4 linked regions of the Stegostoma tigrinum genome follow. The main gene of each other region encodes a partner of the protein of the gene in region 2 in a complex. Links are inferred from orthologs where the notes say so. Each region holds a gene or a part of one and is shown on either strand. Other genes may lie near its edges. The genes, in order: gins3, mcm2, protein downstream neighbor of Son and gins2.

Region 1 (7,638 bases), on a different chromosome or scaffold from region 2:
ACACATGAAACAGCGTGCAGGTGGCTCAGATCTCAAGTTCTCACAAACCTCATTGGTAAATAATGTTTCAGGTGGAAGATAATTATAAAATTAACAACTTAGGAGTTTAAAAATTGCCTTGACCTTAGCGAAGCATCCAAAATGCATCACAGGAGCACTATTAAACAAAATTTGAGACAGGGTGGTGGGGGAAGAATTAGAGCAGATGACCTAGAACTTGGTCAAAAGGGACAGAATTTCAGAGTGGCTTAAAAGAGAAAACGTAGTAGTGAGCTGGAGTGGTTTAGGGAGAGAACATCAGATCTTAGGGCCTTTGCAGCTTAACGCAGAGCTACCAAAGTTAGAATGATTAAAAAAAAAAATCAGAGCTACACAAGAAGCTAGAATGGAGGAATGCAGGTGCCTCAGATTTTTAGAAGTAGAGAATTTAAAGATAGGGCTGAAGTCACATTAGGTTCTTACAAACAATTGAGTACATAGACTTTGCCAACACTGAAATTTATTTAGGATGTCATATGTACTAAACAACATCGGCATCAAGATTTCTGCAATAGTTGTTTATCATTTTGTCATGCATTTTTATACTAACTATTGTCACTTACCTTACTACCATGCAATAGTGCAGATTTGACCCCAAATATAAATATGGCACTAATAGATGTCAAAGTCTAGCAAAAAAAAAGCACTGCATACATAACCTTTGCAAAGAAACCACAGAATGCTCAAGTTATTTACACTTTATAAACAGAAAGAGACAAATCTTGATTACTATAAAACAACTTCTGACACAAAAATTCATTTCTAAAAGTGAGGAGTTTTGTTCCTTCAGATTTTAATTACTGTTGAAGACATTTCTAAAAATCCTTATTGTATTGCTCTCTGATTATCCCATGTTCCTTTCCTTCTGAACTGTATTCATTATGTGTGGCATGCTTTGCACTGAAAAAGAATTAAACTTATAACGAGCCATGAAACAGTCAGAAGGTTGCAGCAATCAAGTCCCGCTCCAGGGTTTAAGCACAAAGATAAAGGCGAACACTCCAGTGCAGTACTATTAGTGGAGAGACCTTGCTAGGCCTCTCACGTGGATGCAAAAGCTTCCTTGACTCTATTTCAAGCAGCAGGGAAATTATGAAACAAAAATAGAAATTGTTGGAGAAACTCAGCAGGTCTGGCAGCATGCAAAGAGAGAAAAGAGAGTTGATTTTTCAAGTCCATTGATCCTTCTTCTGAAGGAGCATCACTGGACTTGAAATGTTATTTTGGCTTTCTCTCTACAGATGCTATCATGTATGCCGAGTTTCTCCAGTAATTTGACGTTATTTCATATTTCCAGCATCCAAAATTCTTTGCTTTATTATAGCAGAAAAATTATCCGTGCTGTCATGGCAAACATTCATCCCATAACCGACAACAAAAAAAATCAGTTTACCTAGTTATCACAAATTTTTGTGGGAGCTTGCTGTGTACTAATTGCCTGTCACGTTTCTTACATAGTGACCAACTTCAATAGCTGCTTAACGCTTTCAGATGGCCAGAGATTATTAAGTATACTATATCAATGCAAGTGTTTTTGGCAATTTCATTTTCTGAATAGGAGTTTCCGTCGAATTCTGTCAGACTTGGCTGGTTTATACTCTACACTGTCAGATATCTTTTAATCAGTCTAAGAGACAGAAACCCTTTAGAGGGCACCGTGTGATTTTAGATTTTCAATTACCACAGTTCCCGTAGTAAAAGGCCACGAAAAATGTGTGGACAACTGTACAAAAAAAGACTTGCCAACGCTCGCGAATTTATCTTGAAAAATACTGTTTGAAAGCAAATTAAGCGTCTTTTGCAAGTGAATCCTCGTTGTCCTTTCTTTACTCGGATTCCAAATTAGTCGGTTCTTGGATATGCATAGCGACATTACAGTGGACATAGTTTCAGAGATAGCAGGAACTGCAGAATCTGAGATAACAAGGTGGATGAACGCAGCAGGTCAAACAGCATCAGACGAGCAGAAGCCCTTAAGGTACAGGCCCGAAACGTCAGCTTTCCTGCTCCGCTGATGCTGCTTGGCCTGCTGTGTTCATCCAGCTCTGCACCTTGTTCTCTTACACTAGACATTGTCGAGTCACAGAGAAAATACCACTATTACTGAGAGAAAATCTTCCACAATTCATTCGTCTGCGTCCAAATGCTGCTCATCCATTCGTTCTTTACAAAGTTCAATTCTGTCCAATATTTGGTTTATGCCCAAATTTTTCCCAGCACAGTTTACAGGATATGTGACAATGTATCTGACAGACACGGATCTTCAGCTTTCATTCTTGATATCTCAATGCCTCCCCTTTCCCAGCCTGACTAGAGTACAGCATTGTTGGCGGTACTCTGGTCTCATGCCCCATGTACTATTGGATTGAACAAGGTAAGATCAGTGGCTCTGGATTGATGGAACTCTGATCAGCCGGGAATTGAAAACGCCTATTACGAAACGTACAAATCAATCGTCAATCTACATTGACTGGCCTTTAGGCAGAAAGGATTTCTTATCATTTTTAGTATTTGTCAAACGTCGTGACTGTAAACATTTTAACTCCCGGATTATACAAAATCAGGGTCAGAGGCCACTGAACGTTCAGAGCCGTTTCTGCTCCACTCTTGTGGTGCTGCAGTTAAAACATTTCTGTCAAACCGCCACTATTCTTCAGTTTTGTGGACAAATCTACTGAAAGTGCCCAGAAACACTGAAGCGATCTCTTCTCCTTGCCGCTCGGCACGCGCCTGACAGCGGTCACCCCACTCGCTTACCTCGGGGATGAGATCGGCCTCGTTGCTCTTGTCTAGAAAGCCCAGGCGCGGCAGCAACATCACAGTCCGACATGGAATCTTCTCCTGGGTCATCAGGATGTCATCCAGGCTGAAGAAGTTTTCCTCCAAGCCTCCCGGAGGCACCGGCAAGTACGAATCGGCGCGCGGCATTAAGGAGGCCGCTAAACTAGTTCGTTACATAGGAGGAGGGGCGGCAGGCTCGTGCCGCCGGAAATGGGCCTCCAGTTCAAATCTCCCGCCCCGCCCGCTAAGCAGAAGCCGACCGAACGTAGAGACCTCGCACAACTACGTAATGGGTGGGCGTTAATCGATTTGCCCGGCCTTATTAAAATAGTACTCTTTTATTACACGTACTGGCGAAAGGCGTGATAAACTCACAGCGTCCGCGAAAACAAATCTCGGTGACCGTTATTTAATATACCGTCACCATCTTCAACACAGACACAAATATACTTCTGATGAAACGGAGAGGCAGGGATTGTGGCGATGGCGTCGAACCCACGTGCCTTCCAGTTCCAGCGCGCGGCAGGTGGTCGGTTAGATTTTGAAGAGTTGAGGGGGGAAAGGGCGCGCGCGGAAGGTTGGGCTAGCGCTTGGCGGTACGAGGGGGGACACCACAGCGGACGGGCGGGTGAGGGTCGGAGTTGAAAGACGCAAGAATGGCGAGCCACTCGGAGGTCCGTGACACCTCACCAAAGTTGAGAAGGAAGAGTAATCCTCGATTTTCTAACATACATATTAAGTCGCGAAACATCGAGAGGTCCAAGTTCTACGAGGACCTGGTGGAGGAGATGCGCCGGAAAATGTGGTGAGTGTTTGAGGACAAGGTGACTCTCGGCAATTCTCTGTTGCGCTTGCGCATAGTCATCGCGTTCACTCAGCCCAGTTGGAGAATCCATGACAACAAAGTGTGAAGCTGGATGAACACAGCGGGCCAAGCAGCATCAGAGCGCTGATGAAGGGTCTAGGCCCGAAACGTCAGCTTTTGTGCTCCTGAGATGCTGCTTGGCCCGCTGTGTTCATCCAGCTTCACACTTCGTTATCTTGGATTCTCCAGCATCTGCAGTTACCATTATTTCTGGAGAATCCATGAGATAGTTACAGCCGAAGGAGGCTATTCGATCTGTGGCCTCAGCAAACGTACTTCACCAAGTTCCACAATCTCGCCCTTCCCTGTAACCTTGCATGTTTTTATTTGTTCTATATAATTATACAGTTCTCTTTTTGAGGCTTTAAATAGAATCTGACTTCCACAATATTGTCATGTTATGTATTCCAGATCCCCATTTCCCTACATGCAAACATTTTCAAGTCACCCTTTCCACTTTTGCCAATCGCACTAAATTTAGTTTTCGCTGATTCTTCTTGTGTCAGTGAGAAGAGTTTCATTCTGCTAACCTGTTCAGATCCTTCATGATTTTGACCACTTGTCTTTAAAGTCTCCTAATCTTCACTGAAGAGGACAAAATCCACAGAACTGAAGTTCCTCATGGCCAGAATCATTTTTGTTAATCCCTTCTGCACCCACTCATGATGCTTTTGCATCCTTCTTAAAGTATGATTGTTAGATTTGGGCAGAATAGCATCTAAGTTCAGGGGTAATAAAATGTGAGGCTGGATGAACACAGCAGGCCAAGCAGCATCTCAGGAGCACAAAAGCTGACGTTTCGGGCCTAGACCCTTCATCAGAGTAAGTTCAGGGGTATGTGGGTTATAGGGGAAATGGGGATGGGTTTGGGTGGGATGCTTTAAGGGGTGGTGTGGACTTGTTAGGTTGAAGGGCCTGTTTCCACACTGAAGGTAATCTAATGTTTTATAAAGGTTTTTTATAACTTCCTTGCTTTTTGTACTCAATACATTTTTGTTTAGGAATCCAGGATACTGTTGTATTAACTGGCTGCTCAACTGTCCTTGCCATGTTCGGTGATGCATAGATACCTGTTTCTGGATCTCTATATGCTATACCTCCTTTAGAATTGTATTTTTTTACATTGTCTCTCCTTGCTCTTCCTATCGAAATATATTCAACACTTCTCTGCATTAAACTAAATCTTCCATTTGTCCATTGTGCTGCCTGCCCTCTTGAAGTCTATTCTATTGAAGTTCTCCTCACACTTCACAATGGCTCCATGTTTTATATTATTTTTAAATTGTACACTATTCGCATGATCAGGATCTGGAATACTTATTAAAGAGGTGGTGGAAGGTGATTTTTAAAGGACCCTTGACAAGTACTTGAGAATGTGAAGTTTACAGGGTAATGAACAAAAAGGACTGATGTGAGATGAAATATAACAAAGATTTAGCATATGGAAAATGGCCCCCTGCACTGTATGTGTCCTGAATATTGGCATGGTGGCTCATTGGTTAGCACTGCTGTCCTTCAGCACCAGGGACCTGGGTTCGATTCCACCCTTGGGCTTCTCCCTGTGTCTGTGTGGGTTTCCGGTGGGTTTCCCAGTTTGCTACCACAGTCCAAAAATGTGCAGGTTGGGGGGATTTGCCATGCTAAATTGCCCCATAGTGTCTTTGGTGTGTGTAGATTGGGTGGATTAGCCATGGGAAATGCAGGGTTACAGGGAAAGCGTGGGGAATGGGTCTGGGTGGAATGCTCTTCAGAGGGTCGGTGTGGGCTTGTTGGACTGAATGGCCTGTTTCCACACTGTTGGCATTCTATGATTTCACTATTAATGTACAACTGCTCAGTTATAGCAACTGCAGCAAAAATCACAAGTGAAATATTTAGGAGTTTGTTTTGCTACAGTCTTTTACCTACATTTGTAGAGCTATTTCCCAGTGTTATTCAAATGAAAATATTATTTTTCCATATTATGCCTGATATATATGCTCAGGAATTTTTAAAAAAGTGTTACTGCACTGTCCAACTGTGGCATGCCCCATTAATGGTAAAGTAATACAGGTTTAGTGTCTACAATGTCTATAAATGCTGAAGATTTCCAAACCTTTTGATCATCAACAACAAAAAAAACTAAAACTTGCATTTATATTCCTGTTTTAGAAAAGAAACTCTGACCTGAGCTCTCATTGAATCTAGTAGTTAAGAGGTGAACACAGCAGGCCAAGCAGCATCTCAGGAGCACAAAAGCTGACGTTTCGGGCCTAGACCCTTCATCAGAGAGGGGGATGGGGGGAGGGAACTGGAATAAATAGGGAGAGAGGGGGAGGCGGACCGAAGATGGAGAGTAAAGAAGATAGGTGGAGAGGGTGTAGGTGGGGAGGTAGGGAGGGGATAGGTCAGTCCAGAGAAGACGGACAGGTCAAGGAGGTGGGATGAGGTTAGTAGGTAGCTGGGGGTGCGGCTTGGGGTGGGAGGAAGGGATGGGTGAGAGGAAGAACCGGTTAGGGAGGCAGAGACAGGTTGGACTGGTTTTGGGATGCAGTGGGTGGGGGGGAAGAGCTGGGCTGGTTGTGTGGTGCAGTGGGGGGAGGGGATGCACTGGGCTGGTTTAGGGATGCAGTAGGGGAAGGGGAGATTTTGAAACTGGTGAAGTCCACATTGATACCATATGGCTGCAGGGTTCCCAGGCGGAATATGAGTTGCTGTTCCTGCAACCTTCGGGTGGCATCATTGTGGCAGTGCAGGAGGCCCATGATGGACATGTCATCAAGAGAATGGGAGGGGGAGTGGAAATGGTTTGCGACTGGGAGGTGCAGTTGTTTGTTGCGAACTGAGCGGAGGTGTTCCACCCCACTGACTGAGGACGAACGGTCAGTCCTGAGCAAGGGGCTCACCTTTGTCCCCCTACAACCACACATCAACGAATACCAGTCACGGTCGGACATAGAGCAGTTTTTCCGCCGTCTTCGCCTGCATGCCTACTTCTTCAACCGGGAACCCAACCCTCCTTCCACTGACCCCTTCACCCGCTTCCAACACAAGTCCTCCTCCTGGACACCACCCCCAGGCCTCCTACCCTCCCTCGACCTCTTCATCTCCAACTGCCGTCGAGACATCAACCGCCTCAACCTCTCCACCCCTCTCACCCACTCCAACCTCTCCCCCGCAGAACGGGCAGCTCTCCGCTCCCTCCGCTCCAACCCCAACCTCACCATCAAACCCGCAGACAAGGGTGGCGCAGTGGTAGTATGGCGCACTGACCTCTACATCGCCGAGGCCAGACGCCAACTCTCCGACACCACCTCCTACCGCCTCCTCGATCATGACCCCACACCCGAGCACCAAACCATCGTCTCCAACACCATTCATGACCTCATCACCTCAGGGGACCTCCCACCCACAGCCTCCAACCTCATTGTTCCCCAACCCCGCACGGCCCGTTTCTATCTCCTTCCCAAAATCCACAAACCTGCCTGCCCTGGTCGACCCATCGTTTCAGCCTGCTCCTGCCCCACCGAACTCATCTCCACCTATCTGGACTCCATTTTCTCCCCTTTGGTCCAGGAACTCCCCACCTATGTCCGTGACACCACCCACGCCCTCCACCTCCTCCAGGACTTCCAATTCCCTGGCCCCCAACACCTCATATTCACCATGGACGTCCAGTCCCTGTACACCTGCATTCCGCATGGAGATGGCCTCAAGGCCCTCCGCTTCTTCCTGTCCCGCAGGCCCGACCAGGCCCCCTCCACCGACACACTCATCCGCCTAGCTGAACTCGTCCTCACACTCAACAACTTCTCTTTTGACTCCTCCCACTTCCTACAGACTAAGGGGGTGGCCATGGGCACCCGCATGGGCCCCAGCTATGCCTGCCTCTTTGTAGGTTACGTGGAACAGTCCCTCTTCCGCACCTACACAGGCCCCAAACCCCACCTCTTCCTCCGGTACATTGATGACTG
Region 2 (7,841 bases):
CTCACTCACAGACTTGGAAAAATATTGCTTTTCCTTTTGTCTCATTGGCTCAAAATCCTGGAATTCCCTCCCGAACACCTCTATGTATGTCCCTGCACCACATGGACGTGCAGCAGTTCAAAAAGGCAGCCCCCACCACCACCTTCACAAGGGGCAACCAGGGATGGCCAGCCTCTGAAAACCACATCCATCTGAATGAGAAAAAAAAGGCCCAAGGTGAATAAATGATCTGCTTCAGGTTTGGCACAGTTCCACTCACACGTTATTGTCATCCTGAATGTTGAACAGCTTAACAATGAGCAAGACCACTGGAACTCAGTTAACTTAGGGGGATAACAAGAAGATGTGGAGCTGGATGAACACAGCAGGTCAGGCAGTATCAGAGGAGCAGAAAAGCTGACGTTTCAGGTCTGTACCTTGATTCAAAAATGGTGGGGAAGGGGAAGAAATAAAGAGAGACGGGGAGGCAATGATAGAAAATAGAGAGTACAGCAGATAGGTGGAGAAAAGATGGACAGGTCAAGGAGATGCAAACGAGAGGGGGGTGCTGGTCTTGGGATTAGGTCGGGGGTGGGGAGATTTTGAAGCTTGTAAAGTCCACATTGAGACGAATCGGTTGTAGGGTTCCCAGGCGTAATATGAGATGCTGTTCGTCCAGATTTTGGTGGCATCCGTGTGGCACTGGAGGAGGCCCAGGATGGACATGTCGTCCAAGGAGTGGGAGGGGGAGTTGAAGTGGATCGCGACTCGGAGGTGTTGCTGTTTGTCACAAACCGAGTACAGGTGCTCCACAAAGCAGTCTCCAAGCTTCTGCTTGGTTTCCCTGATGTAGGGGTAGCCACGTCAGGAACAGCGGATACAATATACCACATCAAACAGATGTTCACCTGCTCATCCGCTAATGTGGTAGGGTGTGGGGGTGTGGGGGCAGGTGTAGCACCTTCTGCGGTTGCAGGGAAAGGTGTTGGGGGTGGTGGGGCTGAGAAGTTAATGGAACAAACCTAACAGGGCTAGTGGGGAGCATACAGCAGACAAGGGAGTCACAGAGAGAGCAGTCCTGGAAGGCAGATAAGGGTGAGGAGGGAAATATAGTCTTGGTATGGGGCCAGATTGCAGGTGGCAGAATTAGCAGAGAATGATGCTTTGACTTCAGAGGTTGATGGGGGTGATATATCAGAGTAAGGGGGATTCTGTCTTTGTTGTCATTGCGGGAAGGGGGTGTGAGGGCTGAGGTGCAGGAATGTAAAAGATGCAGTAGGGGGCATTTTTGACCATGGGGGGTGGGATTTGTGGTCCTTGACAAACAAGGACATCTGGGATGTCTGGGAGTGGAATGCCTCACCGTGGGACCAGATGCGGTGGAGGCGAAGGAATTGGGAACAGTGGGTAGCATTGTTGCAAGAAGTTGGGTGAGATTAGGTTCAGGGAATTTGGGAAAGATAATAAAATTAGAAATTGCAGGAAAAACTCAACAGGTCTGGCAACATCTGCGGAGAGAAAGCAGAATTAACATTTTGTGGCCAGTGACGTTTTTGTTTTTAATTTCCAACAACTGCAGTTCTGCCAGTTTTTAAAAAGATGTGTTACGATATTTATAGCTAGCATTTAAATTATCTGGAACATTCTGACCCAGGTTCAGTGACAAAACGAATGGGCATTTCAATCAGGAAAGGGGTTGGTGGGGCTAACTTTGCACCTCACAGCACTGCAGCAATGAAACAGAATGGGGTCTAGGTCACAATTTGAATGAGTAGGTGACCGCGGGATCACATACCCTTCTAATGTAGTATCATACAGTACAGAAGCATGTCCTTGACCCATCATGACTACATCAACAAAAACCGCTCGAAAAAAAACACTGGTCTCATTTTCAGCATTAGACCGACAACTTTGAATGTTAAGGAATTTCAAATGCTCACCCAAATACATTCTAAAGGTTGAGATATTTCCCATGTCAACTACCCTCCCTGGCAGTGCATTGCAGACACCTTCCCCCGCCCCAAAAAAAAGCCTCTGAGCTTGCTTTCCTCGAATCCCTGTAAACCTTCTACCTTACGAATTAAAATTATGTCCCTTTGCTGTTGACCCTTCAACTCAGGGAAACAGCTGATATCTACCTACCCTGTTTGTATCCCTCAATCTTACACCACTCAATCACATTCCCCCCCGCACCCGCCCCGGTGCAAATTACAGCAGATGAAGGAATCTGACACTTCATCAGAGTCATCTCGACTTGAAACGTTAGCTTGCTGTCTCTCCGTGAATACTGCGATCGCCAGCACTTGTTTACAGTACAGGTTCCGCACACCCTCCAAACCCCACCACCTTCTCTGCTCTAAAGGAAACAAGCTGACGCTATCCAGCCTCCCTTTTTCTCCCCAGGTTAGGGGGCTGCAAATGTAGAGGGCATGGGTCCAGGTGAGAGGGGGAAAGATTTAAAGGGAACTAAGGAGCAACTTTTTCATGCTTAGGATTGTGTGTGTACAGAATGAGCTGCCAGGGGAAGCGGTGGAGGCTGGTACAATTACAACATTTAAAATGCATCTGGATGGGTACATGAATAGGAAGGGTTTACAGGGACAAGGGCCAAATGGGGCTACGTCAGATTGGGATATCTGGTCGGAGCAGAAGAGTTGGACTAAAGGGTCTGTTTCCACGTTGTACAACTCTATGATCCATCCCAGGCAACATCCTGGTGAATTTCTTCTTCACCCACTCCGGTGCAATCACATCTTCCTGTAATGTGGTGACCGCAACTACACACAGGGCTCCGGCTGTGGCCTAACCAAAGTACTATACACCGACGATAACCTCCCCACTCTCATATTCAACGTCTTGGCTAAGTTGCCCGAGGGCCTTCTGAACTACCCTATTGACCGGTCCTGCTGCCTTCGGGGATTCGCGGACCTCAAACCATCTCTGGCCTACATGTGACTCCAGACCCAGAGCAAAGCGGATGGTTCTCAACTGACCCTCTGGGCAGTTGGGGATGGGCAATAAATGCAGTGACGCCCTCATTCCATGTGCGATATAAACAAACAACAACCCCTTCAGGATCTCTCTGAGCCTCCTACCACTTATCATCACGCCGGAGGTCGGGATGTGAGGAACATCACAAACCACTTTTCCCCTCAGTGTTTTATCTGACGGGCTCTTAGCTGCAGCTTTCCCCTAACCCCACTCCAGAAACACCTCCCTCATTCTCTTCCACTCACCGCCATTGCCTCCTTCTCTCCGGCTCCTCACCGACAAACGGACTAAACCCCTTTTCGCGCCAAAACCACCCACCTGACTCCGATTCGCGCCAAAACCCAGTCGTGTGTTCTACGTCACCGCGGCCCCATGCATGTCAATGAGCACTGCGTCATCGGCGCACAGCATCAGACATCGCCGGCTGTAACGGGTCATGGATCGATTGAAGACGAGGCGTACGTATTGCTATTTAAACATCGCGGTCTGCGGCCTGGAGCCTGTAGGGAATGGTGTTCATCAATTATTTCTCGACGGGGCGCTACTGATGCTCACATTGGAAAGAGACGCTGAGTTCCCGAATGGATTGGCGGTTCAGATTCCGCCCCTCGTGCTTGTGATTGGCTGTAGGTGGTGTCCGTTAGGACCTGACCTCTCGCGGATTGGCTGGCCCACACGTCAATCAACCCTACATTTAGGGACCGTCTCCAAATTGTAAAGGAGACCATTTTTAAAAAAGCACAGGAATGGGATAATACTATTGGATGAGGGCCGCATTGTTGGGCTAATACACCAGAGACCCAGGTAGCGTATTCAGCACGTAGGTCCAAATCTTGTCATGCATGATAGTGCAATTTGAGTTCAATTTTAAAGAATTTGGGATTAAGAATCTGAGGATAACCATTGCCAAGAGAACCCAACTGGCTCACTAATGTCCTTAAGAGAAGACCACAGGATATAGGAGGCCCATCGACTCTGTTCCACCATTTGATCATGGCCGATATGATTCTCAACCCCATTTTCCTGCCTTCTCACTCTTGATCGCCTTACTAACCAAGAACTGATCTAGCTCTATCTTAAATATACTGAACAACTTGACCTACACAGCTCTGTGGAGCAATGAGTTCCACAGATTTACCACCCTCTGGCTGAAGAAATTCCTCCATCTCTGTTCTAAAGGGTTGTTTCTTTCACTCTGCTGTTATACTTGCATTTTAGCCTGTCCTATTAGTGGAAGTATGTCCACTCTATCCAGACCACTGGATTCTGGAAGTTTAGATGAGGTTCCCATTCCACCCAACCCTTCTAAACTCTTGACAACTCCTCATCCCAGGATCATTTTTGTAAACCTCCTCTGGACTCCCTCCCTCTGCCTCCTACAAGCCAAAGTCCCCACCTGCTTCAAGAAGACCACTCTCATCCCTGTATCCAAGAGAACACATGCAGTGTGTGTGCAGTGACTATCACCCATTTGCTGTCTTCAATAATCATGAAGTACTTTGAGAGGCTGGTCATGGCTCACATCAACTCCAGTCTCCAAACTTGCCTCAAATCCCTACAATTTGCCTACCAACATAACAGGTCCACAGAAGATGCCGTATCCCTAGCCCTGCACTCATCCCTGGAGCTCCTGGACAATAAAGAAACCTACATCAGACTTGTGCTCGTTGACTAAATGTCCGCCTTCAACACCATTGTCCTCTCCAGACTGATCTCAAAACTGCGTGATCTTGGCATCAGCTCAGCACTCTGCGACTGGATCCTCAGCTTTCTGACCCATAGGTCACAATCAGTGAGGATAGGTAACTGCACCTCCTCCACAATAACCCTCAACTCTGGAGTCCTCCCCCACCCCACCAAGGATGCATCCTCAGCCCCCTACAGTACAAAGAAACAAAGAAACCTACAGCACAGGAACATCGGCCCTCCAAGCCTGCGCCGATCAAGATCCTCTGTCTAACCTGTCATCTATTTTCTAACGGTCTCTGTCCATTTGCTCTCTGCCCATCCATGTACCTGTCCAAATATATCTTAAAAGACGCTAACGTGTCTGCGTCTACCACCTCTGCTGGCAACGCGTTCCAGGCACCCACCACCCTCTGTGTAAAGAACTTGCCACGCATATCTCCCCTAAACTTTCCTCCTCTCACTTTGAACTCATGACCCCTAGTAACTGAGTCCCCCACCCTGGGAAAAAGCTTTTTGCTATTCACCCTGTCTATACCCCTCATGATTTTGTAGACCTCAATCAGGTCCCCCCTCAATCTCCGTCTTTCTAATGAAAATAATCCTAATCTATTCAACCCCTCTTCATAGCTAGCACCCTCCATACCAGGCAACATCCTGGTGAACCTCCTCTGCACCCTCTCCAAAGCATCCACATCCTTTTGGTAATGTGGTGACCAGAACTGTACACAGTACTCCAAATGTGGCCGAACCAAAGTCCTAAACAACTGCAACATGACCTGCCAACTCTTGTACTCAATACTCCGCCCAATGAAGGAAAGCATGCCATATGCCTTCTTGACCACCCTATTGACCTGCATTGTCACCTTCAGGGAACCATGGACCCGAACACCCAGGTCCCTCTGTTCATCAATTTTCCCTAGGACTTTTCCATTTACTGTATAGTTTGCCCTTGAATTTGATCTTCCAAAATGCATCACCTCGCATTTGCCCGGATTGAACTCCATCTGCCATTTATCTGCCCAACTCTCCAGTCTATCTATATTCTGCTGTAATTTCTGACAGTCCCCTTCACTATCAGCTACTCCACCAATCTTAGTGTCATCAGCAAACTTGCTGATCAGACCACCTACACCTTCCTCCAGATCATTTACATATATCACAAACAACAGTGGTCCCAGCACAGATCCCTGTGAAACACCACTGGTTACAGGTCTCCAATTTGAGAAACTCCCTTGTACTACTACCCTCTGTCTCCTGTTGCCCAGCCAGTTTTTTATCCATCTAGCTAGCACACCCTGGACCCCATGTGACTTCACTTTCTCCATCAGCCTGCCATGGGGAACCTTATCAAATGCCTTACTGAAGTCCATGTATATGACATCTACAGCCTTTCCCTCATCAATCAACTTTGTCACGTACTCAGATTGTTGAATGGACTCTGGCCTCAAATAATGAAGATGCCCTAAATAATGTAACCTGCAATGTAACCTGTATGCCTTTAAGTCTTTTTGATCTGTACATCCTTTGCTTGCTGTCATCTGCCTCTAGCGCTCATAAACAAAGCATTTCACTGCATTTCGATATACAAGACAATCAGTGAATAATATCCTTCCTTAAAATACATCGCCCAAAACTGCTGACAATATTCTAAATGTGGTCTGACCAGACTCTCGAAATTGGCTCAGCAGCACGTTTCTGTTCTTGCATTCTAGCCCTCTTGAAATGAATGGAAGCATTGCATTTGACTTCCTAACTGCCAACTTTACCTGCCTGTTAACCTTGAGAGTCAGCACAGAAACAGACCCTTTGGTGCAACTTATCTGTGCCAACCAGACTTCTTAAATTGAACTAGTCCCATTTGCCTTCATTTGACCAATATCCTTCTCGACCTTTCTTATCCATGTACTCATTCAAATGTCTTTTAAATATAGTAATTGTATTCACCCCTACCACTTCCTCTGGCAGCTTGTTCCATGTACTCACCACCCACTGTGAAAAAGTTGCCCCCCATTTTAAATCTTTACCCTGTCACCGTAAAACTATGCCTGCTATTGAGGTTGGTTGGCTCGCCGAGCTGGTTTGTCGTTCCACAGACGTTTCGTTACCATGCTTGGTTACTCATTCGTCTCAATCCACATGGACAAGGAGAACCACGACTTCAACTGGGACAACACCAAGATCCTGGGACAGGCTAGGTAGAGACAAACACGAGAATTCCTGGAAGCATAGCACTCCACGTAGCAGGCTATTAATAAACACCCCATATACATTCCACTATGGAGGAAACCCAGAAGTGAGGCAATCCATCGCAATGGTCCACAGAGTTTAAAAGCCAGGCGGGAAAACACACTGATGCTCCATCAGAGGCTGCACTGAGGATGTTACCCAAGCACGGTAATGAAACATCAGCAGAACAACAAACCAGCTCGGTGAGCCAACCAACCTCAAACACCCACAACCCGAGCTACAAATATACTCCAAAATAATGCCTGCTGGTTTTGGTCGCAGATACCCTTGGCTATTCAACTTATCTATGCCCCTCATGATTTTATAACCCTCTATAAGGCCAACCCACTGCCTTCTCTGCTCAAAGGAAAGTAGTCCCAGCCTATCCAGTCTCTCCATATAACTCAAACCCTCCAGTCTCAGTAATACCCTTAAAATCTTTCTTGCACCCTTTCCAGAGTACACCTCAAATTTATCTGCGTTAAACTCCATCTGCCATTCCTTAGTCCATTTAGAGTTTATAGAGTCACACAGCATGGAAGCAGACCCTTTGATCCAACTAGCCCACAATGACCATATTCCCAAATTAAACTAATCCCAACTCCTGTGCTTGGCCCATATTTCTCCAAACCTTTCCTATTCCTGAACTTATCCAAATGTATTCTGAACATTGTAACTGTACCTACATTCACCACTTCCTCTGACAGTTCAGTCCACATACACACAAACCACTGTCTGTGTAAAAGAAAAGTTGCCCACATGTCCTTTTTAAATCTTTCTCCTCTCACCTTAAAAATATTGCCCCTAGTTTTGAACACCCCCTCCCTAGGGAAAAAAACTGTGACATTTACTTTATCAATGCCCCTAATGATTTTATAAACCTTCTATGATCCATTGAAAAAAGTACCAACCTTTCCAGTCAATTTTGTAATCTCAAACCCTCCATTCCTGGCAAC
Region 3 (8,259 bases), on a different chromosome or scaffold from region 2:
GACCGGGTCCGCAGGGACACCATGTACAAAGACCTGGGAAATGGGGGAAAGGGCGTACCGAACGCCACCCTTGCCCTGACGGCTACCTTTGTGTGCGGCTGCATCAAGCTGTGCGTAGATCCTCAGTACGCAAACACCAAGTGTCACTACTTACTGAGGTTCTACCTGTCCCCAGTGTTGCGAAGGATGGGCTGGCCTCGTTGCCGCGGAACGCTCCGAGTAGATGGACCGTTCCATACCACCTGTCCTTCGTGGAGAAATTTTTGAAAGGAAACACCTTTGACCACAAGGCCGTCAGGCAGTGGTCAGCACGTAGTATCCTTGGGACCCTTCGGGAAAAGGAGAGGGTGGATCCCGTCATGTGCTTCCCCACGCAGACTGCCAAAGTCGTTTGGCGGAATACCTCATCGCCAGAACTTTCAAACAAGCACAAGGACATTGCTTGGCTGACGGTGAGAGGGGTTCTGCCAGTGAGATCCTTTATGCATGCCCGGAATCTCTGCGCCACCGCACGCTGCCCTCGAGGTGGCTGCGGGGGGGATGAGACTGTCGATCACCTCCTTCTGGAGTGTGCCTATGCGCAGGAGGTCTGGAGGGGGATGCAGTGGTATCTGTCGAGGTTCGTCCCGAACAGCTCCGTGTCGCAGGACTCCGTGCTCTATGGGCTGTTTCCGGGGACGCACACCGAGACCAACATCAATTGCACCTGGAGGACCATCAATGCGGTGAAAGACGCTCTTTGGTCTGCCCGCAACTTGCTGGTCTGCCAGCTGAAAGAACTGACCCCGACTGAGTGTTGCAGACTGGCGCACTCCAAGGTCCAGGACTACGTGCTGAGGGACACGCTAAAGCTTGGGGCAGCCGCCGCCAAGGCGCGGTGGGGAAAGACCACCGTATGAAATCCCTCGTCCAGAATGGAAAAAAGGGCCCTATCTGGTAACTGGGCCCAGCTGGCGCTTTCCCCAACTGGTCAGGGGGGCAACGGGAACTGTGCGGGGTGACGACTGCCGGGGTGTTTTCTTTGCTTTGTTTTTTTTCCTTCTTTGTTTTTTTCCTTCAGTTGGTGTATGTATCCCCTGGGTAACCCGGAGCGGCTTGCATGACTGGGTAGGTGTGTAAATATGTTTTATTTTTTGTACACCTTACGAATAATGTATATTTTTTCAAATAAAAAAAAGTGACGAAACGTCTGAAAACTAACCTTCCAGCTCAGCGAGCAAACTCACATCCAGAACCTCAACCTGAGCTACAAATCTTCTCTCAACCTTGAATAGTATTTGGGGCTCATATATAAGCCATAATGGAGATATCTTGGGCATGGAGTTTGAATGAGGACTGTTGAAGTAATTAAATTATTGTCAGCCAAATAGTAGGGGCATAAACAAGCCAGTATTGGAGGTCCAAAGTACGTGACTGTATTCTACAATCACAGAATCTCTACAGTTTGGAAGCAGGCCATTTAGCCCATCGAGTACCCACGGACCCTCCGATGGGCATCCCACTCAGACCCACACATTACCCCATCTCTGTAACCCTGCACGTCCTACAGCTAATCCACCGAGCTTGCTCATCGGCAATTTGGCATGACCAATCACCTAACCTGCACATCTGGAATGAGCCTTCACAAAAGAAGTCTGGAGGTTTTTGTCAATCTTCATCCCGGGTAGCTCCGTAACACGGGATTCTGTGCTCTACAATCTGTCCCCGGTACGCGCACTAAGACAAACTTCAGTTGTGTCGGGAGGATTTGGTGAAAGATGCTATTTAGCCTGCCCAAGCCTTGTTGGTCTTTCAGAACAAGTTGACCCCAACCAAGAGTTGCAGACTGGCACATTTCAATGGGGTCCAGGACTACATGTTCAGTGGCGCACTAAAGCTTGAGGCCAAAGCACAGCGGGGAAAGGCCAGTTTGAAGTCTTCCTGCTAAAGGTAAATGGGGGTCTGTTCAGTTATGGAACCCTCCTAATGTGTCAAATATATGTGAATATTAATACTGTATGTGTCGTCACTGTATTTGTACAAAGATTTTTTATGAATACTGTATATTTTTGAAATGTAAAAAATATATCTGGAGGCAGAACATAGTGGCCGTCACTACAAAGAAATTGCTTGGGAAACTGAAAGTTCGAAAGAGGGATAAATCACCTGAACCATATGCATTACACCCCAAAGGTTTCTGAAAGAGATAGCTGAGGAGATTGTGGAGGCATTGTGCAAGTATTATTTCAGGAATCACTGGAGACAGGAAGAGTCCCACTGTTTAAGAGAGGGAGGTAGAAGAAAGGACACTATATGCTATTTAGTTATTGGTCAGATTTTAGAATGCATTATTAAGAATAAGGTTGAGGAGTACTTGGAAGCTCGCAGTAAAATAGGGCTGAGTCAGCATGGCTTCAAGGAGGTGTCATGCCTGACAAACCTGTTAGGATTCTTTGGGGAGGGACCAAGCAAGTAAGACAAAGGAGAGCTGGTGGATCTATTTGAATTTTCAGAAAGCCTTTGGCAAGATGCCCACTGGAATCTGCTAAATAACAGCCCACAAAGTTAGGGGTGAGGTACTGGCATGGACAGAGGATTGGCTGACTGGCAGAAGGCAGAATAAGGTGGTCTCTTTCAAGATGGTGGCCAGTGACAAGTGGAGTTCTATAGGAATCTGTATATATTCACATTATACATTAACAATCTGGACAAAGGAACTCCAGATGTTGTTGATAAGTTTGTAGATGAGACAAAGATAACTGGTGAGATAGGTAATGTTGGGAGGCTGCAGAAGGTCTTCAACAGCTCAGAAGGTACATTCCATCTGTCACTCCTTTGACCAATGTGGGAAAGTGTGAGGTCATGCACTTTGGTACGAAGAATGCAGGCACAGTATATTTTCTAAATAGAGAAAGACTTTGAAAATCTGAAGCACAAATGGACTTGGAGGCCACAGAGTCAAACAGCACAGAAACAGACCCTTCGGTCCAACTCACCTGCACCAACCAGATATCCCAATCCCACCTAGTCCCATTTGCCAGCATTTGGCCCATATTCCTGTAAACCCTTCCTATTCATGAGCCCACCCAGATGTTTTTTAAATGTTGTAATTGTATCACACCACACTCTCTGCAGCCTGGGGCCCTGTATCTAAGGAAGGATGTGCTGGCGTTTACATGTTTACAAGAATGATTTCTGGGATGATGAGCTCATCATATTAGAGGCAGTTGAGGGGTCCCGGTCTGCATTAGAGGAGTTTAGAAGGATGACAGGAATCTTCCTGCTCTGAGAGTTTCAGGATAGTGGGCCTGTAGAAGAAACTTCCATGGCACGGCATCAGACTTCAGAACCCTTTAGAACAGAGATGGGAATTTCTTCAGTCAGAGAGTGGTGACTCTGTGGAACTTATTGACTGACTCAGAAGGCTGTGGAGGCCAAGTCATTGGGTTTTGATTAGTATGGGGATTAAGGATTAAGGGGAGAAGGCAAGAGAATGGGATTGAGATGTATATCAGCCCTGACCAAATGTCAGAGGAGATTTAATGGGCTGAATAGCCTAGTTCTGTTCCTACACTTCTTATTTCATGTCTAATTTGAACAGTCTTTGAAAAAACCTTGGTGATTTGGTAGCATGGGATATGAATATCAGCTCTTGGTTGATCAACACTGTATGCCCCCATTTTGTCCTGTATCATTCAATGAGCGGGCAGGAGATGATAATAGTGGCAAGTCAGCTTTACTCTTCTTACTTAACCACTTTCTATTTCTGAACCAATTAGTCCTCCAAGCTATCACTCACATATTTCCAATCACCTTTATTATTCAGATTAACTTAAAAGTACATCCCAGGATAAAACAGTTGCCCTGATTCTCAAGATTGATGAAACCATTGCTCTCCTAGCACAACATGCTGTGAATGTACAAGGTACAAACACTAAGTCTGCAGTGACACCAAACTGGTGTGGTAAAAAGTGAGGAAGAAAGCCTTTGAATAGAGAATGATAGAGCCAACCTGGTCTGGCTGAACTATGGTAAATGGGTCTGAAGTGTGACAATGCATTTTTAAGAGCACAAGCATGGCAAAGAAATATGTTGAACGGTGAGCCCCTAGGGTGTTCACAGAAGCCTTGGTGTGCATGTACATAGATCCTCAAACGCAGCAGAACAAGGTGAGGTGGCAAAGAAAGAATACAGGATGTAAACAAAATTGCTGGAGAAACTCAACAGGCGCGGCCGCATCTATAGAGAGAATGAAGTTAATGTTTAGAGTCCAGTAACCCTTCAGAAGTGCAGTGCAACCAGGCCTGAGTTTCCCCAGCAGTCTTTTTGCTTCAAATGTTCAGCATTCATAGTTCTTTGTTTTTACTTAAAGGAATGTGGGCTCCTTGCCTTTATTAGTCAAGGCAATGTAGACAAGGGTACGAGGGGGCTCCACGGGTCTTGAGGGAGCTGTTTTTAACGTTAGTCAGGACACAGCGCTGTGTACAGTTGCGAGCAACCCACTGCTGGAGGGATGTGAATGCACTGAAGACAACGGAGAACAGATTTACCAATATATTGCCGGGCCTGGAGCGCTCCAGCTATGAAGATAGAGACATCGGGGTTGGATGCTTTAGTGGGACACCAGGAGCTAAAGGGTATTTTTATTCCATACTATAAATAACTGCGAGAACACTCACAAAAACGCTGCGCAGCAGCTGAACGTTTCTGGAACACACTCCGACATGGGCTGCAATACGCCTGCGCGGAAATTTCACCCACCCCCATTTGGGCGGGGCCAGTAGTACGCATGCGCTCTCGCTCGGCGGGAAACCTCCAACTGTTCGTTCGCGCGAAATTTTAAAAATATTTTTCCTCCGGCCGCAGGGACAGTGATATTTCACTGATTTTGTTTTTATTTTTGAAAAGAGGAGGATGAAAACAAGGAAAGATGCTTCATTATTGCTTTTGAATATAAATATTTAAGGGGAAGGTGAAACATCTGGTTGTCCAACAATATATCGATTAATTCCTGGATTTCGCCTGATTTTTTGACCGGGTTTTAAAATGTCGGTGGCCGTACAGCTGGCCGGTTATTCGCCCAGTTTCAAGAAGCCGTCTGAAACGCTGAGGCTGAGGAAGAAGCGCGCTCGCAGCTCTCCGCGGCTCGGCCTTCCCTCGGACTCTCCGACCCCGACCGGCAAAGAGCAACCGAGACCCTGCGGCAAGCGGCAGAGGAGGGCAAGGAACCCGTTCGTCAACATCGGCAACACCGTGACCCGTCCGGGGACCGGGACCAGCTGGCCTGAGGAGTCCGACAACCCGCTACACCGCTCACTCTCCGCCCAGGAGTGGAAAGTCCCGGTCTCCGACGGCAGAACTGAATCGGCAAGTAAACGGGATGCATAGGTTTGAGATGTTGTCATCCGATTTAGAGAATGTGATTAAAGGCAGGGTTATTGTTTTAATAATCAGCGTAATGTTTAGCATGTTCCGGATCTGCAGTAGCTCAGTACTGCTGTCCTTTTAGAAGCAAAGTAATTAACTTGTTGACGCCGCTGTACATAGTTATTCCTAGACGCTGGAGGATCTGCCCTCATGGTCCACTTGCGCCATTCATACGCACCCACTTCTTTAAAAGTTACTTCCAGTTCACTGTGAGGGGTTTGAATTTATTTCTACTCTGTAGAATGACTTTTTTTTGAAAAGTTCGACACTAGGGCTTGACCGCTTGCGTTTTGGAGAACTGCTGGTTTGAAATTGTGTCGAGCCCGCAGGAGGGCAGTAGCTCAGTAAAGTAACTGGTCCCGCTTATCAATGTTCACACGAGAAAGAAATAGCCTTATCAGCATTACAACTGTTATAGGCAACGGGATGAAGATTGGCAACATTAGTGGAAAGAAGAACGAGTTAACGCGGAAACTCACTGAGCTTTCCTTTTTCTTTATTCGAGTGTCAACTACAGTCGAATAAGGTTTTCGACTTAACTGCAGGAGTTGTTGGCCAGGAGTCTAGGAAAAGACGCTGTTAGCAGTGGTCGTATCTTGGCTGATGATGTGTTTGGAGTACATGTTCCTAAATGACAAACAGGTTTCTACCTCCCGGATAGAATGGTTTCCTAGATCGTGCCCTGTTCTACGTATTGCCATTTTATCTACTCTGACCAGGAAGAGGGGCAATCAAGATGTGCCTGTATCGAAATCAACGTATTGTTAATTTCTGCACTGACTACTATCAACATTTCAAAGCCAAACACCAAGGGCATGAAGTTTCGGAAGAGTTTGGATTTCTCAAAGCTGGAACAAGCGCTCGAGGAAGAATCACATTTGCCCTTGTGCTCAACATGTGCACTCCGTTGCATTGAGGATGAGTGGGTGACTCAACAGAGGTCCTTGTCGCTACTTCTGCCACGCTTTGATTTTTAAAAACAAATAAGCAAATCCAGAATCTACTAAAGACAACGTTACCTCCTGCGTGACAAGTCATCGCTATCCAAAAAGGGCTACTAAAAGGCTTGGAAAGCTGCATGATACTTTGAATCAGCAATCAGATGATTTTCAGTCTGATGATAAAGGCTGGAAGAAATTCTACAAAGCTCTGAATTCTGTCCACTCGATGCTTCACCAAGGTTCTGAAGGATTGTCATTGCTCACTAAAACAGCCCATGTTCCCGAGAGATGAACGCGTTATGTAAAACAATTCTCCAATTGACATTCAATGAAGAAGCAGTCAACAGGTTTTCCCTGGAAGCCATCGGTGTGTCGATGCTCCCAAACTACTTAGTGACACTCAAACTGCTGTCCAGACCAAAGCTGATGCAATCCTTATTGACTCAATGTCTGATTAAGATGTTTGCTGAACTCATTCCACTTATGTGGACAAAATGGACTATCTTGCAAGCATACAAAGATGCCTTTTTCACCTGAACAAGAGAAAAGAAATGCACAAATCTTAGGGCAATCATAGCATGGTGTTTACAATGAAACCAGGCAGCTGCATAAGAAATGCCAAGAACAGAAGATTGACTTCTTTTGCACATATACTGATCTGACCCAGAACTCTAATGTTGTCAGCCAGGAAGATCTTTGGGACCTAATGGAGAAATTCAACTGCCTTAAGAAATTGCTTACAAATTTTTGGTAGTTCGAAGAACAGCATGTTCTTCTATGGATGATGATGACTCTTGTGATCAATTTCTAGTTACTAATGGAGTTAAGCAGGCTGTAGTGTTAGCACTAATTCTTGATTTTTCTCTGCCATGCTCTCTAGTCTGTGACAGATCAACTGAAGAGTGACATCTGGGTATGTAGAACATATCTGGAGAACCTTATCTAATCAAGAAACACCACTAACAACAAATACAATTTGATTATGTAAACTGTTCCTTTTTAGTTGTTAAATAGTAATCCCTGTTGAAGAGGTTGAACAAATATCTGACCTGAAAATATTGATCAGTATTCTGCTCACTTCATGATGGTCGGTTACCATTATAATACAGAATGATTTCTTGTCAGTTGCCTTTTTAGAGTGTTTGTTGCCACTGACAATGCTGCATTTTGGCTGTACCCATTTTGTATGCTGTCAAAGCCTTAACAGATAGGAATACCTTTCAGCTAAAGTTCAGGGTTTGCATGAAGAAGCAAAGTTTTTTTTTGTTTACTGACCTCTGTTCTGAGCATGCATTCTGGAGGGTGTCCAGTAAACTTTTGATTTACGTTGGCCATGTAATTATTCAGGGAAAGGATTTTTTTTTAAACTACCGATCTGCTAGATCCTGCACTCCACTCAGTTCGAACTAAATTTGAAGTGCATAGTCTGGTACCAAAATGTTGGATGATAGAACCAACAATTGGCTAGCAAAAGCAAGTTTGATTAGATTCGCTCCAGTGTGGAAACAGGCCCTTCAGCCCAACAAGTCCACACCACCCCTTGGAGCATCCCACCCAGACCCATCCCCCTATAACTCTCACACCCCTGAACACTACGGGCAATTTAGCATGGCCAATCCACCTAGCCTGCGCTTCTTTGGACTGTGGGAGGAAACCGGAGCACCCGGAGGGAACCCACGCAGACACGGGGAGAATGTGCAAACTCCGCACAGACTGTTACCCGAGGATGGAATTGAACCCAGATCCCTGGCACTGTGAGGCTGTAATGCTAACCACTGAGCCACCTTGCCAAACTTTCCTACTGGCTTTGGAGAAAGCTTGTCTCAAAGCAAGTATCTAGCTATGAGTGGATCTTGCATCATTTTTCTCTACACCAGTAGGAAAGAAATAACTTTGCCTCCCCTCGAGGCAA
Region 4 (7,577 bases), on a different chromosome or scaffold from region 2:
CAGGGAAGACGGACAGGTCAAGGAGGTGGGATGAGGTTAGTAGGTAGCTGGGGGTGCGGCTTGGGTGGGAGGAAGGGATGGGTGAGAGGAAGAACCGGTTAGGGAGGCAGAGACAGGTTGGACTGGTTTTGGGATGCAGTGGGTGGGGGGGAAGAGCTGGGCTGGTTGTGTGGTGCAGTGGGGGGAGGGGACGAACTGGGCTGGTTTAGGGATGCAGTAGGGGAAGGGGAGATTTTGAAACTGGTGAAGTCCACATTGATACCATATGGCTGCAGGGTTCCCAGGCGGAATATGAGTTGCTGTTCCTGCAACCTTCGGGTGGCATCATTGTGGCAGTGCAGGAGGCCCATGATGGACATGTCATCTAGAGAATGGGAGGGGGAGTGGAAATGGTTTGCGACTGGGAGGTGCAGTTGTTTGTTGCGAACTGAGCGGAGGTGTTCTGCAAAGCGGTCCCCAAGCCTCTGCTTGGTTTCCCCAATGTAGAGGAAGCCGCACCGGGTACAGTGGATGCAGTATACCACATTGGCAGATGTGCAGGTGAACCTCTGCTTAATGTGGAATGTCATGTTGGGGCCTGGGATAGGGGTGAGGGAGGAGGTGTGGGGACAAGTGTAGCATTTCCTGCGGTTGCAGGGGAAGGTGCCGGGTGTGGTGGGGTTGGAGGGCAGTGTGGAGCGAACAAGGGAGTCACGGAGAGAGTGGTCTCTCCGGAAAGCAGACAGGGGAGGGGATGGAAAAATGTCTTGGGTGGTGGGGTCGGATTGTAAATGGCGTAAGTGTCGGAGGATGATGCGTTGTATCCGGAGGTTGGTAGGGTGGTGTGTGAGAACGAGGGGGATCCTCTTAGGGCGGTTGTGGCGGGGGCGGGGTGTGAGGGATGTGTTGCGGGAAATATGGGAGACGCGGTCAAGGGCGTTCTCGATCACTGTGGGGGGAAAGTTGCGGTCCTTAAAGAACTTGGACATCTGGGATGTGCGGGAGTGGAATGTCTTATCGTGGGAGCAGATGCGGCGGAGGGTGGAGGAATTGGGAATAGGGGATGAAATTTTTGCATCTCAACAAAGATAGGGACCACTGGTTCTCACTTTCCGATTCACCGGTATCCGCATCCATAAGATCATAAGCTGCCATTTCTGCCACGTCTAGTTGAATGTCACCACTCAATACATATTCCCTCCCCTCTTTTGTCAGCTTTCTGCAGGGACCGTCCCAGCTGGGACATCCTGGCCCACTCCTCCTCCACTCCCACCATGTCCTCACATGCCCACGGCACCTTCCGCTAAAACTGCCAAAGGTGTAACACCTGCCCATTTACCTCCTCACTATCCAAGAGTCCACACACAGATGAAGCAGTATTTTACCTGTATTTCGACAATCTAGTCTACTGCATTCTCTGCTCACAATGTGATCACCCACACACTGGGGAGACAAAACACAGACTGAGCAACTGTTTTGCTCAACACCTACTTTCTTTCAATAAAAATGGCCTCAAGCTTCCAGTTGGCCGCCACTTTGACATACCACTGTGTTCCCTGGCCAATATCTTTGTCTCAGGCTTGCTGCATTGCTTCAGCAAGGCTCACCGCAAGCTGGAAAAACAGCATTTCATTGGCTGCTCAAGCAGCGCCCCCCCCCCCGGAGCCTTGAGGACTCGATATCGAATAAAGCCTGAACATCTTCTTCAATATCCTTTATCCACCCCTACAACCCAGGTCTGTCATGATAAGGGCTGCTTTCAGCACTGCCAACTCAATTTTACTCACTTATGGACCCCTTCATCAGCTTTTGATCGAGTTGTACAGTACAGAAACAGGCCCTTCAGTCCGACTTGGCCAACCGACCAGACATCCCTGTCTGACCTTGTCCCATTTGCCAGCATTTGGCCCATATCACTCGAAGCCCTTTCTATGCATGTACCCACCCGGTAAATATTTTAAATGTTGTATTTGTACACACCTCCACTACTTTCTTTGGCAGCTCATTCCATACATGCACCACCCTTTGTGTGAAAAAGTTACCCTCCAGGTTGTTTTTTAAATCCGCCCCTCTCACCTTAAACCTTTTCCCTCTAGTTTTGACTCCCCTACCCAGGGAGAAAAACCTTGATTATTCATCCTATTCATGCCCCTCATGATTTTACAAGTCTGTATAAGGTCACCTCTCAGCCTCTGATGCTCCAGAGAAAACAGCCCCAGCCTATTCAACCCGTCCCTATAGCTCAAACCCTCCAACTCAGCAACATCTTTGTAAATCTTTTCTCAAGTTTAGCAACATCCTTCCTAAAGAAGGGCAACCAGAATATACATTTTCTCCTTGCCTGGCTTACTATCATCAATCGCTTTTTCTCCTTAACTATCTGTCTCTCTCTCTCTCTCTCTCTCTCGAGTCTACCTCCATCAATGATTTTGAAGAAAACATGAACTGCAGATGCTATCTTCTTACTCCTTTAGCTTCCTCTCCCCGCCCATCTCTTCAGGTTATAAACAACTTTTCCCAACATCCATTGTTTCTATTCTGTTTTTGTCTCCACTGATGCTGTCAGACCTGCTGGGTTTCTCCATCAATTTCTGTTTTTACTTTAGACAACGTAAACATTAAGCTTGTTGGCAAAGGGGGAAGGCCTTGCAAGCAAGGGGCACGGCTTGCAACGGGGGACTGTCAAGGGGCGGAGTCTGTGCCTTGATTGGCGTAGTCTGTTACTAAGGAGGCATGGTCTTTATTCAAATAGGCCGAGCCTGAAGTGTATGGACAGGGAATGTCCTTCAAGGACCGCACCTTCCCCCCCCACAGTGGTCAAGAGTGCCCTTGACTGTGCTTCCCGCATTTCCCGGACCTCATCCCTCGCAATAACCTCCATAAGAGAATCCCCCAGTCCTCACGTACCAGCCCACCAACCTCCAGACACAATGCATCATCCTCCGACACTTCCGCCATCTACAATCCGACCCCACCACCTAAGACATTTTTCCTACCCCACCCTTGTCTGCCTTCCGCGACTCCCTTGTCCGCTCCACGCTCCCCTCCAATCCCACCACACCCGGCACTTTCCCCTGCAACCGCAGGAAGTGCTACACCTGCCCCCACATCTTCTCCCTCACCTCCATCCCAGGCCCCAACATGACTTTCCACATTAAGCAGATGTTCACCTGCACATCCGCCAATGTGGTATACTGTAACCACTGTAGCCGGTGTGGCTTCCTCTACATTGGGGAAAACAAGCGGAGGCTTGGGGACCGCTTTGCAGAACACCTCCGCTCGGTTCGCCATAAACAACTTCACCTCCCAGTCGAGAACCATTTCCACTCCCCCTCCCATTCTTTAGATGACATGTCCATCATGGGCCTCCTGCAGTGCCACAATGATGCCACCCGAAGGTTGCAGGAACAGCGACTCATATTCCGCTTGGGAACCCTGCAGCCCAATGGTATCAATGTGGACTTCACCAGTTTCAAAATCTCCCCTTCCCCTACTGCATCACAAAACCAGCCTAGTTCTTCCCCTCCACCCACTGCATCCCAAAACCAGCCCAGTTCTTCCCCTCCACCCACTGCATCCCAAAACCAGCCCAGCCTGTCTCTGCCTCCCTAACCTGTTCTTCTTCTCACCCATCCCTTCCTCCCACCTCAAGACGCACCTCCATTTCCTACCAACGAACCTCATCCCGCCTCCCTGACCTCTCCCCTCCCCACCTAAACTCTCCTCTCCACCTATCTTCTCCTGTGTCCATCTTCGGTCCGCCTCCCCCTCTCTCCCTATTTATTTCAGAATCCTCTCCCCATCCCCCTCTCTGATGAAGGATCTAGGCCCGAAACGTCAGCTTTTGTGCTCCTAAGACGCTGCTTGGCCTGCTGTGTTCATCCAGCCTCACACTTTGTTATCTCGGATTCTCCAACATCTGCAGTTCCCAACATCTGTGGGATAGGGAATGTAGTGCAGTCAGTGGGCGGGACGTGGCCGGGAACGGTGGGGATCGTAGTCAGGGGCGGGCTCCGTCGTCAAGGGGCGGATCCCTACTCGGGGCGGGGTGACCGTTGTTAGAGGCGGGGTCCGTTGTCAAGGGGCTGGGTCTGTTGTTACGGGGGCTGGGTCAGTTGTCGCGGGGGCGGGGTCTGTTGTCAAGGGGGCCGGGCCAGTTGTCAAAGGGCCGGCTGAGTGACATCACCCCTATTTCCGGTGGTGTTTGCGCGGGAAGCTGTCTCAGGCTTCAGGCGGGTGATTTAAACCCGGGAGCGAGCGGTTAAATGCGGCAATGGACCCTTCAGAAGTGGAGTTTCTCGCAGAGAAGCAGATTGTGACTATTATTCCCAACTTCAGCTTGGATAAAATCTATTTAATAACTGTGAGTGTGTTTTGTCAAGTTGCCCCCTCTTGTGGCTCATGGGCTATGATTTATATTTTAAAGCATTTTACACATGGAGCAAGTTTAAACTAAAAGGCCAGAGATTTATAATCAATGATAATAAATTATGTGTAACAAGTGCTGTAGAGTTGGAGGAAATATTTTCCTACAGCCTGTTGTTATTGGGATCAACAAAAATGTAAAATGTTTAGAGCAAGAGATCTCTGATTGTCTTCAGATTAATTTGGATCATTCCAAATCACACTGACTGACTGACTGACTGACTTTTTTCAAAAAAGGTTTGTGACTTGAAATGTAAACAAGGAAGCTCCACGTCTTGAAACATTTTAATCCTTATACTTGCTCCTAATAATAGACAATAATTAGGCAAGTGCAAATTGACAAGTTTGAAATCCAAAATTAAACAAAGGGCTGCTGATGCTGAAGATCTGAAACAAAAAACAGAAATTGCTGGAGAAGCAGAGCAGGCTCCAAACATAGCCTGGTATGCCATAGTGCTTCGCTTGGAGAAGAATTTGTTAAGTGTGCAGAAGAAAATTTACCTCTTCAGAATATGGATGTACTTACTAGAGAAATAGCAAAAATTAGTCCTTCTCTTGGGAAATAAGGCAGGTGACAGTGGGAGCTACTTTGGGGCCAGTGATCATAATTCTATTAGTCTATAAGGTTTTGGAGTAGATTTGTAGTTCGGGTTGTGGATGTTGTGGCTGGCTCGCTGAGCTGGTTCTTTGTTTTTCTGCAGATGTTTCATTACCCCGCTGGGTAACTTCATCAGTGTCTCTGATGAAGTACCGTTGTGTTTTCCCACCTGGTTTTTAAACTGGAGTCCGTTGAGCTGGATTACCTCATTTCTGGTTTTCCTTTGCAATGGCGTGTATATGGGGTCAAGTTCTCTGTGTTTGTTGATGGCTTTCTTCTTGGAGTATCAGGCTTCTAGGAATTGGAAAAGGATAGAACTGATCTAAAAGTTGAAGGTCTAAATTGGAGTAAGGCCACTTTTGATGGTATAAGGCAAGAACTTTCAAAAGTTAATTTGGATGTGGATATTTGCAGATAAAGGGATGGCTGGAAAGTGGAAAGCCTTCAAAAATGAGATAACGATAGTCTAGCAAAAGTATGTTCCACTCAGGGTGAAGGTTGGTGGGTGTAGGGAATGCTGGATGACTAGAGAAATTTAAGTTCTGGTCAAGGAAAAGAACGAAGCATATGTCAAGCGTAGACCGCAGGGATCAAATGAATCCCTGGATAAATACAAGAGCAGTAGGAGTAAACTTAAGAGGGAAATCAGGGCAAAAAGGAGAAATAAGATAGCTTTGGCAAGTAGGGCTTAGGATTACCTAAAGGGGTTCTACAAATACATGAAGGACAAAAGAGTAACTAGGGAGAGAATGGGGCCCCTTAAAGTTCAGCAAGGCCACCTATGTTTGGAACTGCAGGAGATGGGTGAGATACTAAATGAGTACTTTGCATCAGTGTTTGGTGTGGAGGAGGATATGGAAGCTAGACAACTTGGGGAGATAAATAGCAATATCTTGAAGTGTCCATATTACAGAGGAGGAGGTGCTAGATGTCTTAAAATGCATAAAGGTGGATAAATCCCTAGAACCTGATCAGGTGTGCCCAAAACTTTGTGGGAAGCTTGGGAAGCCATTTGCTGAGATATTTGTATCTCGGATAGCCACGGGTGAGGTCCCTGAAGACTGGAGGTTGCTACCATGCTGCCGTTATTTAAGAAAGGTGGTGAGGAAAAGCCAGGGAATTATAGACCACTGAGCCTGACATCAGTGGTGGGCAAGTTTTTGGAGGGAATTCTGAGGGAGAGGGATTTACATGTATTTGGAAAGGCAAATACTAATTAGGGATAGTCAACATAGCTTTGTGCATGGGAAATCATGCCTCACTAACTTGATTGAGTTTTTTGAAGACGTGATGAAGAGGTTTGACAAAGGCAGTGTGATGCGTAGTGTCTGAATGGACTTTTTAAGCCATTCGACAAGGCTCTGACTGGTAGACTGGTTAACAAGGTTGGAACACATAAATACAGGAAGAAGTAAACATTTGAATACAAAATTGGCTTGAAGGTAGGAGACAAAAGGGTGTTGGTGGAAAATGCTTTTCAGACTGCGGGCCTGTGACCAGCAGTGTACTGCAAGGATTGGTGCTGTGTCCACTGCTTTCTGTCATTTATAAAAATTACTTGGATGTGAACATAGGAGGTATGGTTAGTGATTTTGCAGATGACATCAAAATTGGTTGTGTAATGAACAGCAAAGTGGGTTATCTGAGAGTAACGGAACCTTGATCCGATAGGCCAATGAGCCAAGGAGTGGTAGATAGAGTTTAATTTAGATAAATATGAGATGCTACATTTTGGTAGAGCAAATCAAGGCAGGACTTGTACAGTAAATGGCAAGGCCCTGGGGACTGTTGCCAACAAAGAGACCTTGGGATGCAGCTTCATAATTCCTTGAAAGTGGAGTCACAGGTAGACAGGGTAGTGAAGAAAGTGTTTGGTACACTTACCTTCATTGGTCAGAGCATTGAGTATTGGAGTTGGGAGGTCATATTCTGCCTCCACAGTACATTGGTTAGGCCACTTTTGAAATACTGTGTTCCATCCTGGTCTCCCTGCTATAGTCAAGATACTGTGAAACTTGAAAGGGTTCCAAAAAGATTTAAAAGAATGTTGCCAGGATTGGGGAGTTTGAACTGCTGGGAGGGGCTGTTTTCCCTGGAGCATCAGACGCTGAGGGGTGACTTCATAGAGGTTTATAAAATCATGAGGAGTTTGGTAAGGTGACTAGTCAAGGTCTTTTCCCCAGAGTAGGGGAATCCAAAACTAGAGGGCATAGGGTCAAGGTGAGAAGTGAAATATTTGAAAGGGCCCGAAGGGGAAACTTTTTAATGCAGATGGTGGTGCATGCATGGAATGAACTGTCAAAGGATGTGGTGGAGGCTGGTACAATTGCAGCATTTAAAAGGCACCTGGATGGCTACAAGACTAGGAAGAGTTTATAGAACGTAGAACATTACAGCACAGTACAGGCCCTTCGGCCCTCGATGTTGTGCTGACCTGTCATACCAATCTGAAGCCCATCTAACCTACACTATTCCATATTCCATGTACGTCCATATGCTTGTCCAATGACGACTTAATGGTGCCAAATGCTAGCAAATGGGACTAGATTAATTTAGAATATCTGATTGGCATGAA

Evidence for each region.
Region 1: mcm2 (region 2) and gins3 share a complex: the UniProt entries of both Homo sapiens proteins name them as parts of the CMG helicase complex. The link is inferred for Stegostoma tigrinum from reciprocal best matches to the Homo sapiens genes MCM2 and GINS3.
Region 3: mcm2 (region 2) and protein downstream neighbor of Son share a complex: the UniProt entries of both Homo sapiens proteins name them as parts of the replisome complex. The link is inferred for Stegostoma tigrinum from reciprocal best matches to the Homo sapiens genes MCM2 and DONSON.
Region 4: mcm2 (region 2) and gins2 share a complex: the UniProt entries of both Homo sapiens proteins name them as parts of the CMG helicase complex. The link is inferred for Stegostoma tigrinum from reciprocal best matches to the Homo sapiens genes MCM2 and GINS2.

The regions. Positions count from the first base shown.
Region 1 is NC_081369.1:10,630,638-10,638,275, forward strand, and holds the start of gins3 (DNA replication complex GINS protein PSF3), read right to left. Parts: upstream 3,645-7,638; 5' UTR 3,626-3,644; coding exon of another isoform or gene 3,477-3,625; 5' UTR 2,968-3,476; coding exon 2,797-2,967; exon of another isoform or gene 2,409-2,796; intron 1-2,408. Other genes in the region: diacylglycerol O-acyltransferase 1-like, read left to right, coding at 3,477-3,625. UniProt on the Homo sapiens protein: Required for correct functioning of the GINS complex, a complex that plays an essential role in the initiation of DNA replication, and progression of DNA replication forks.
Region 2 is NC_081364.1:5,791,266-5,799,106, forward strand, and holds the start of mcm2 (DNA replication licensing factor MCM2), read right to left. Parts: upstream 3,307-7,841; 5' UTR 3,222-3,306; coding exon 3,216-3,221; intron 1-3,215. UniProt on the Homo sapiens protein: Acts as a component of the MCM2-7 complex (MCM complex) which is the replicative helicase essential for 'once per cell cycle' DNA replication initiation and elongation in eukaryotic cells.
Region 3 is NC_081365.1:23,194,036-23,202,294, forward strand, and holds the start of protein downstream neighbor of Son, read left to right. Parts: upstream 1-4,785; 5' UTR 4,786-5,025; coding exon 5,026-5,346; intron 5,347-8,259. UniProt on the Homo sapiens protein: Replisome component that maintains genome stability by protecting stalled or damaged replication forks.
Region 4 is NC_081369.1:52,205,797-52,213,373, forward strand, and holds the start of gins2 (DNA replication complex GINS protein PSF2), read left to right. Parts: upstream 1-4,170; 5' UTR 4,171-4,252; coding exon 4,253-4,342; intron 4,343-7,577. UniProt on the Homo sapiens protein: Required for correct functioning of the GINS complex, a complex that plays an essential role in the initiation of DNA replication, and progression of DNA replication forks.